2 linked regions of the Oryctolagus cuniculus genome follow. The protein of the gene in region 1 interacts with the protein of each later gene in a pairwise test. Links are inferred from orthologs where the notes say so. Each region holds a gene or a part of one and is shown in the gene's direction. Other genes may lie near its edges. The genes, in order: VTI1B and PTPN5.

Evidence for each region.
Region 2: the proteins of VTI1B (region 1) and PTPN5 interact in binary tests that used the Homo sapiens proteins (3 or more experiments, as listed by UniProt). The two-hybrid records come from large-scale screens. The link is inferred for Oryctolagus cuniculus from reciprocal best matches to the Homo sapiens genes VTI1B and PTPN5.

Annotation. Positions count from the first base shown.
Region 1 is NC_091451.1:13,562,217-13,566,498, reverse strand, and holds the start of VTI1B (vesicle transport through interaction with t-SNAREs homolog 1B), read left to right. Parts: upstream 1-1,280; 5' UTR 1,281-1,428; coding exon 1,429-1,543; intron 1,544-4,282. UniProt on the Homo sapiens protein: V-SNARE that mediates vesicle transport pathways through interactions with t-SNAREs on the target membrane. These interactions are proposed to mediate aspects of the specificity of vesicle trafficking and to promote fusion of the lipid bilayers.
Region 2 is NC_091432.1:47,714,381-47,718,184, forward strand, and holds part of PTPN5 (tyrosine-protein phosphatase non-receptor type 5), read left to right. Parts: intron 1-2,323; coding exon 2,324-2,403; intron 2,404-2,531; coding exon 2,532-2,669; intron 2,670-3,124; coding exon 3,125-3,235; intron 3,236-3,804. UniProt on the Homo sapiens protein: May regulate the activity of several effector molecules involved in synaptic plasticity and neuronal cell survival, including MAPKs, Src family kinases and NMDA receptors.

The DNA of each region.
Region 1 (4,282 bases):
GTAGAACAGATGAATTAATATTTTACTTAATTTATATTGAACATGCAATAACAAATAAAAATCTTTTTCAGTTGTTTGTCATGTTTTTACTTATGAGAATAAAAACCGTAAGAATTAAGCACAAGCTCACTTATAGTCGAAAGAAGACAACACTTCGTCGTTACAGCTTGGCAGTTATTTCTCACGTTAAGGGCCGTTTAGCCCGGAGTTGAGCTGTAATGCTACAATCTGCAGATGACAGTAACCTGGATTGTGTGCTGACTTGACGCCTCGCGCCCATTGCCTGCTTTGCCGACACAGCTGGAGGTCACTTTGTCCTCGTGTTCTGACCGCGGCATGCTGTTGATCTCTGCGCTGTAGCACAGTGCGCTGCCACCGCCACCCTCAGCTCTTGTCATCTCCGTGCTGGGTGTCACCTCCACGCACTGAGAGCTCAGCACTGTTAAAATCAAGCCTCAAATCTACTAGAAATAAGGGCCCGGGAGACACAAGTCACCAACATTATCCTCTCAGCATTCGCGGGCATTAAAATGTGCGTGCGTTTAAACTGGGCTCCCAGGCAAGCGAGAGCGAAGCGTGAAATCAGCGCCAAGGGGCACCTGTGCGCATGCAGTGCAGGAGAGGGCTTTGTCCACCTAGTGGTGGACCAGCTGAGGAAGCCCCGCCATCGGTGGCCCCTAGTTCATGTGCCCAATGAACTAGGCGAGCCCAGCCTAGAGACCAAGAACGCACACTTTGGGGTCCACTGCCCGGGGTTTCATGACCCTAGCCACCTGACATCCCAGTCCGAGGGCAGGCAGGACCCCGGCCCCGCTGTCTTTCCCAGGCTGAAAGCTAACACCTGATGAGGACACTAATTGTGGAAGCCGGGGTAGCACAGCAACGTGCAGACCCCATATCCAATAGATACCAAACCGCTGCGCAACTGGGCAGGAGGAGACGCCAGCTGAAGCAACACGTGACGCCCGAGCCTGCGCGTCCACTGCGCCGAACTACAACTCCCGGCATGCGCTGCGGCGCCGCCCTCACGGGCAGGGCCGTCAAGGAGGCGGCCGAGCTGCCCGACCCGCGGGCCCGTCGGGCCCTTCCGCTGTGACAACTTCCCCCAACAGCGAACCGGATATTCTAAGCGCTCCGGGAATATCGCTCTAACGTGCGGTGCCGCTGTCCCTCAGGACCCGCTCGGCAGCGAAACCCTTCCGACTTTCCATCAGGCTTTCGCGCACGGCGCTCCCATAGCGTTAGGCTGGAGGGCGTGGACGTTCCGGCGCGGGAGGACCCCGCCGCGGCCCCGGAAGCGCCTCGTCCGCGGCGGCGGGGGCGCGGCGGTCGCCGTGATGGCCGTGGGGCTGGGCGGCTGACCGCCGGGCCGGGAGCAAACTCAGAGCCCAGAACCTCGGCGGCCGCGGCCGTAGCTCGGCCTTCGTGATGGCTACCTCCGCCGCCTCCTCGGAGCATTTCGAAAAGTTGCACGAGATCTTCCGGGGCCTCCATGAAGACCTCTTAGGGGTGCCCGGGCGGCTGCTGGGGACGGCAGGGACCGGTGAGGCAGGGGCGGGACAGACCGTGGGCAGTGCAACCCCGTGCGGCCGGGCGCCAGTCTCGCCGCCCCTCATCAGACACGCCTCCCGGGGACCCCCCCCCCCCCCCGTGGCTTCTTAAAATTCGCATTTTGGGTGGGGAGGAGAGGTCTTTAAATCTGTGATCCTGTGTTCTGGGGAATGGGCTTCTTTCGTAGCTCCCTGTGTATTGTTTTACGCATTTAAAGGCCTTATTCTTGGGGGAGGCCCGTCGTTTCTATCAGTCTGGCAGTAGAGGGGGTGGAACGGGCGTTTGCAAAGAGAAGGGGAAAAAGGGGGAAGAAGCTGCGAGGGAGCGCGGAATCTCACGCTCTCAGCTGTGGAGTCGGGGGTACGTGGGGGAGAGCGCGTCAGCCAGGACGTGGAGGGGTCTGATTGTCCACGCCAGACACTTGGACTTGAGGTGGCGAGTCGGGCGAAGCGTTTCGGGCGGCTGGTTAATGCGGATTTTACTTTCGAGAGAGGGTGCTGGTGGCTGGATAGAGGAGCCGCACAAGAGTGAGGGGCCCGGGCTGAGAGCCCTAGTGGCGGGCGTCCGGGTGCGTGGGTTTCTGGGGAGTTCTGCATCCAAGAGCTGGCTCGGAGGCAGGAGCTGACCGGCCGGAGCGGCTGTGGGGAGCGAGGAGCAGCCGCGCAGGGGCCGGCGCGCTCACCTGCAGGCAGCGGAAGCCCACTTGCCCGGGTGTGTGTGTGAGGGCGGCGGGGGCGCCTGTGGAGCGGACATCACGGGGTCGCGTCCGTTGTAGCCTGACGAAATACGTGGTCTGCCGCGGGGAAGAACAGACCGGGGAACTGGGAGGCAGCGGTGAAGCAGGAATCCTAGGGCCGGGGTTCAGATCCACTTCAGCAGTGTGACCGCGGACACGTTTCTTTAACCAAACTAGTGTCCCCTGCAAAATGGGAATAAACTGAACTGTCTGCTTCTAGGGTTTTTGTGAGGAATAAATGCGTGAATCAGGATAACGCCCCTGACGATAGTAGGCAATTTCTTGTCATTAATATGTGGGGAACTGAGTGTTTCGGGCGAGACTACCAGCTCTGTATACTACCTCTCTTAGCTTGCTCTGCGTTTCCCCCAGATCGCTTAGTCTCTAACAGCGTACTAGACACTCCGCATATTTGTGATAGTTACAGTTGTTTGTCTTCTTTCCCCAGAGTAGTTTTTTTTTTTTTTTTTTTTTTTTTTTTTTAATTTATTTGAAAGGCAGAGTTAGAGAGAGAGACAGAGAAAAGTCTTCCATCCGCTGGTTCACTCCCCAATGGCCGCAACAGCCAGAGCTGAGCTGATCCAAAGCCAGGAGTCTCCGGGTCTCTCATGTGGGTGCGGGGGCCCAAGGACTTGGGCCATCTTCTACTGCTTTCCCAGGCCACAGCAGGGAGCTGAATCAGAAGTGGAGCAGCCGGGACTCAAACCCATGCTCATCTGGGATGCGTGGCAGGTGGTGGCTTACTTCACAGTGCTGGTCCCCAGAAACTGTTTTTTGTTTGTTTGTTTGTTTTTTAATATTTATTTATTTGAAAAAGTTACACAGAGAGGAGAGGCAGAGAGAGAGAGAGAGAGAGAGAGAGATGTCTTCCATCCAATGGTTCACTCCCCACTGGCCACGACGGAGCTGCGCTGATCCGAAGCCAGGAGCCAGGAGTTTCTTCCGGGTCTCCCATGTGGGTACAGGGGCCCAAGGACTTGGGCCATCTTCTGCTTTCCCAGGCCATAGCAGAGAGCTGGATTGGAAGTAGAGCAGCCAGGTCTGGAACCGGTGCCCATATGGGATGCTGATGCTTCAGGCCGGGGCATTACCCCACTGTACCACAGCGCTGGCCCCCAGAAACTGTTTTAACAAGCAGTTTGGTTTAACCACCCACCTGGGGATATTTTTTAAATTTACAAAAGAAAAATTGTGTTGTACCCCCCAAGTAGTTACCATATTCTCACTGCATTTCCATTTCCCTATGAACATGTCTTATTACTATATTTGTCAGAATTAAAGAGCTCACACCCAGTTTCCCTTGTTTTTAAACCCAAACTCTTTTTATCCCTTCCAGCACGCCCAGCCTCTAGTAATCAACATTCAGTGTTCAGATTGAGAGGTTTGGTTTGGTTTTGTTGGTTTTTTAAATTTTAGCTCCCACATACAAGGGAGAACAATGCAGTATGTGTCTGTCTGTGTCTGGCCTTACTTCACACAACATGATGTCCTCCGATTCCAACCATTTTGCTACAAATGACAAGATTTCATTCTTTTTTAAAAGTAACACTTCAGTGTATATACATTCCACATTCTCTTCATCCATTCCTCCCATGGTGGACACCTTGGCTGAGTCGTTACTTTGTCTGTTGTGATGAGCACGGTGGAGCAGGCCCGCTGGGTGAGCTCTGAGTCACTATTGAAGTCAGTGCTGTGTTCGTGTGTTATGTATCCTAAGCACTTAGAGTGTCTGGTGCCTCCTGGATGCTCCATAAATAGCTGTTGAACGATTGATTATATAATTGCTGCGAAGAAGGTACTCATTTATGACTGTTGAGACTCAGTGACTGACTTCTGTTCACGTTTTCATTACTTTTAAGATGGACATCTAGACCCATTAGAACCACAGGAGAGATTTTTTTCCCCATAGTGTACATTCAGTTTCTGCCTTTGAAGGATAACTAAGACTGGGGAATGAAGCCCAGATTCAAACCCTCTGCCCGGGCAGGCTCAACC
Region 2 (3,804 bases), on another chromosome or scaffold:
GTTATTCAGGGCGGCTTACCTCTTCCTCCTCCTGCCCTCCCCTTCCCAGCCCTGCCTGGGGGGGGGGGGCGGGGGGCCTCGGGTCCCCTAGCACCTAGGGCCCTGCTGGCCACTCAGGATTCCCACTGGGGAGGGCAGCAGTCAGGCCGTGTCTCCCCTGGTCCTCGCTGGATTATGGAGAGCCTCAAGCCACTCCAGCCGTGGCCTAGCTTCCAGGCCCCAACCTCCTGTGTGTGTCCAGCACAAGCTAACCCTGCTCGCTCAGAGCCAGGTTCAGGGGAGGAGGACCGGGCAGGCTTAGCAGAGGCCGCCCCTCAGGTCCTGGCCACCCTGCGGTCTCCTTGAGGCAGCACCCGTTTCTCAAGGCTAAGAGCTGAGATGTGAATAAGACAGACCGTGCACAAGGAGCCCCGGTGCAGCGGGAGAGACAGGTGCACAGCATGATGGTAACCCAGCAGGAGGCCTGGCACCAAAACGGTGCCTGGCGCGTGGCTCGTGGATGGACAGACGGACGGGTGGGTAGATGGTCAGTCAGATGAGTGGATAGATGGACAGACAGGGCAGGGAGAGGTGGACAGGTTAGGAGGAGGGGGAGTAGGTGGGTGGTGGATGAACACCTCCCAGCAGCGGCTTCTCCTCTCCGTCCTCACCGCCAAGTGACAAGGTCAGGGCCAGTCGCAGGGGATGCCACGTACAGAGACCTGGGCACACGCCAGGCGTGCTTGTGACCCCCGACACGTCTCACCCGGCTCATCGCGGTCCTCTGCTGTCCACTCTCTTGACTTCCACGCTCCCCTCTCCTGTCCTCCCGGCGCTGCCCGCGGAGTGCTGCACAGCAGAACCCTGGTCGAGTCGCTCTCCCCCTCAGACGCAGCCACTGCCACCGAGTGGCCCTTGGCTTGAGGGTCAGCTTTCTAAGCCTGGGTTAGATGACCCTGTAGCCTCTCGTTCCCGTCCAGCCTCGCCTCTCACGAGTCCCGCCCAGCCCTGGGCACTGGAATCCCACACAACAGCATCCCCTGCTCCTCCGGCTAAGGGCCTGCCAACCCCGCCAAGGAGCCACCTCTTCCAGGAAGCCCACGCAGCCGGGCCAAGTCTGCTCCCGCAGCCCCAATGCTCAACTGCCGTATGTTCCTCATCTGCCTGCCCAGCACGCTGCAGGCTCTGGTGTCTGGCGGGGGTGGGCAGTGCCCACTTCCGTCCTGCAGGCCAGGGGAAGGGAGATGGCCAAACACAGGCACAGCTACCTGCTCCCGAAGTTCCCCCTCGCCCCTCTCCATCCGCGCCGCCCTGCTGTGTCCCTCTGCACGACAACCACGGTGCTGCCAAGACCTCAGGCAGTGGGACCGGGAGGCAAAGGGCAGCAGAGGCGAGGTGTGCACGTCGCCGCCCGTGTTGCAGACTCTTCCTTTACCCGTTGCCTAATGGTAGAGTTGGCAGCAATGGCAACTGTGTGGCAGCTGCTCGCCGTGCGGCGCTGCGTGCACACTGGTCTAAGTTACCCGGCTAACTAACGTTGCCTCCTTTAACCTTCACACAGTATGTGGGGTCGTGGTGAACAGAGCATCCCCACCGTGCAGGCGAGGCACAGGGAGACGGGGCAGACTGTCCACCTCGATGCTGCCGGGGAGTCATGGGGCCACGTCCCACATCCAGGCTCTCTGGCTCGGTGATGTGGACTTGGCAATGACCACCACCTGTGCAAGCCCCCCTGTGCCCGCTAGAAGCGCCTTCGATCCAGAGAAGGGATCAGACTCTGTGCCAAAGTGAGCCCAGGCCCCAGAGCTGCAGGCCCCCAGCTAGCTTCCCTGCCCACCCCGCACCCGGTCCCAGAACAGACAACTACAGGGAGGCTGGCTGGAGCTGGAACAAAGCAGAGTCTACCCCGGGAAGAACAGGATGTTACGGGAATCTGTCACTCGGGGAACTGACGTGAATAGACTGGGGAGAGAGGGCCCCTGTGCACACGCATCTGTCGTCTCGTCTCAGCCGGTCAGCGACAGCGCATCCGCACTCTGCAGCTGCCACCTGCTGTTGGGGATCTCTACCGAAGGTCACCCCTTTCCTGCCGTAGCTTTCTCTTCCCCAGAACGTGGGGTGCAAGGAGTGCAGCACAGCTGAAGGGGCACGGGCACACAACAGGGCCTCTCCCACTGCCTCCTTACCCGAGGCCGCGCCTGTCCTGTCCAAATGGACCCCAAGAGGGGTCCTTGTTTAATGGCCAGGGGGAAGGAAGAATTGCCTGGGTCCCAGAAGAGGGGTGGGGCCCTGGAGTGGGCCGTGCCCAGGTCCCTGCCTCACCTGGCTCCCTCCCCCACCCCAGACCCTCACAGCAGAGTGTGTCTGAGCTCGCCAGATCCCGAGGATCCTCTGAGTTCCTACATCAATGCCAACTACATCCGGGTACGTAGCCCCATCCCGACGGCCAAACCAGTGTGGCTGCTGCCAGCCCCGGGACAAGCCCCAGTGTGGGGACTGGGCCCTGGGAGTGCTGCCTCCAAGCCTGACAACCTGGGCTCGGCTGGCCACAGGGCTACGGCGGCGAGGAGAAGGTGTACATCGCCACGCAGGGCCCCATCGTGAGCACGGTGGCCGACTTCTGGCGCATGGTGTGGCAGGAGCACGCGCCCATCATCGTCATGATCACCAACATCGAGGAGATGAACGAGGTAGGGACCCCGGGCTGTGACCAAGTGCTCGCTGCTTTGTGTCCTGTCCCAAGCATCAGGATCCCACGTGAATCCTAGGACTGGCCTGTGAGGCTGGCGGGGCTCACAGCAGCCAGAGCTGGACCATGTGGTCGCTGGTGGAGCCTGGAGCCAGCCTCTCCACCGCCGGTGCCCGTGATGCTCAGCTGCTTCCCAGCCGGCCAGGACCAACACTGGCTGTACCCGTGACAGCCGGGTTCATTGACTCCCCATAGAAGTCCTTAAGAATGAGGACAGTTTCCAACTGCCGGATACATACGCCGAGCCATAGAGTTCATGTTCTTATAGATTGTGGAGCTCGGGACCTGTTGTGTTTTTATGCCCCCTGCTGGCCCTGGAGGGGCATTGAGGAGGGATGGGGGTGTGGCAGGGGATGGGGCAGAGGGCGGGTCGCAGCCTGATCTGGGCCCCTGCAGAAATGCACCGAGTACTGGCCGGAGGAGCAGGTGGTGCACGATGGCGTAGAGATCACCGTGCACAGGGTCATCCACACTGAGGATTACCGGCTGCGACTCATCTCCCTCAAGGTGAGCTCTGGGGCCGGGCTGGGTGGATGGAAGCGAGGGGCACCACTGGGGACTCCACTGAGAACAGGGTGCAGCCGTCCACTGCAGCGGAAACAAAGGCCTTTGTCAGGATTTACTGATAAGTAGAGGCGAAGGAGGCGCAGATGGACTTGGGGGCCAGGCAGGACCAAACCAAACCTCAGCTGCTTTTCCTAGAGCTCAGCTACATTCGTTGCTGATGGACTCTCTCTATGTAAACTGCCATTTACAATGCCCGCTGGCCCGAGGCCGGGAAGGGGTGGATGGGGGGACTTCTGCAGCCTCCTGCACGGTCCTCATGAGTGAGGGCTCCTTAACGACTTGGAGATCTGCCCTAGAAACGGTCCCTTCAAGACCTGGGCTGGGCTGGGCTCCTGGCTGTAGTGCCGGCCCTGTCCACCAGAGGGCAGACGCTCCCTGCTGCTGCGGCGCTGCACAGAGGCTGTGGTTACAGAAAATGGCAAGAAAAGGGAAGGCAGCAACATATGAGCAGTGCAGAACAGCCCGGAAGAGTGAGCGGAGGGATCCTCCCACCCTGAAGTGGTGCCTCT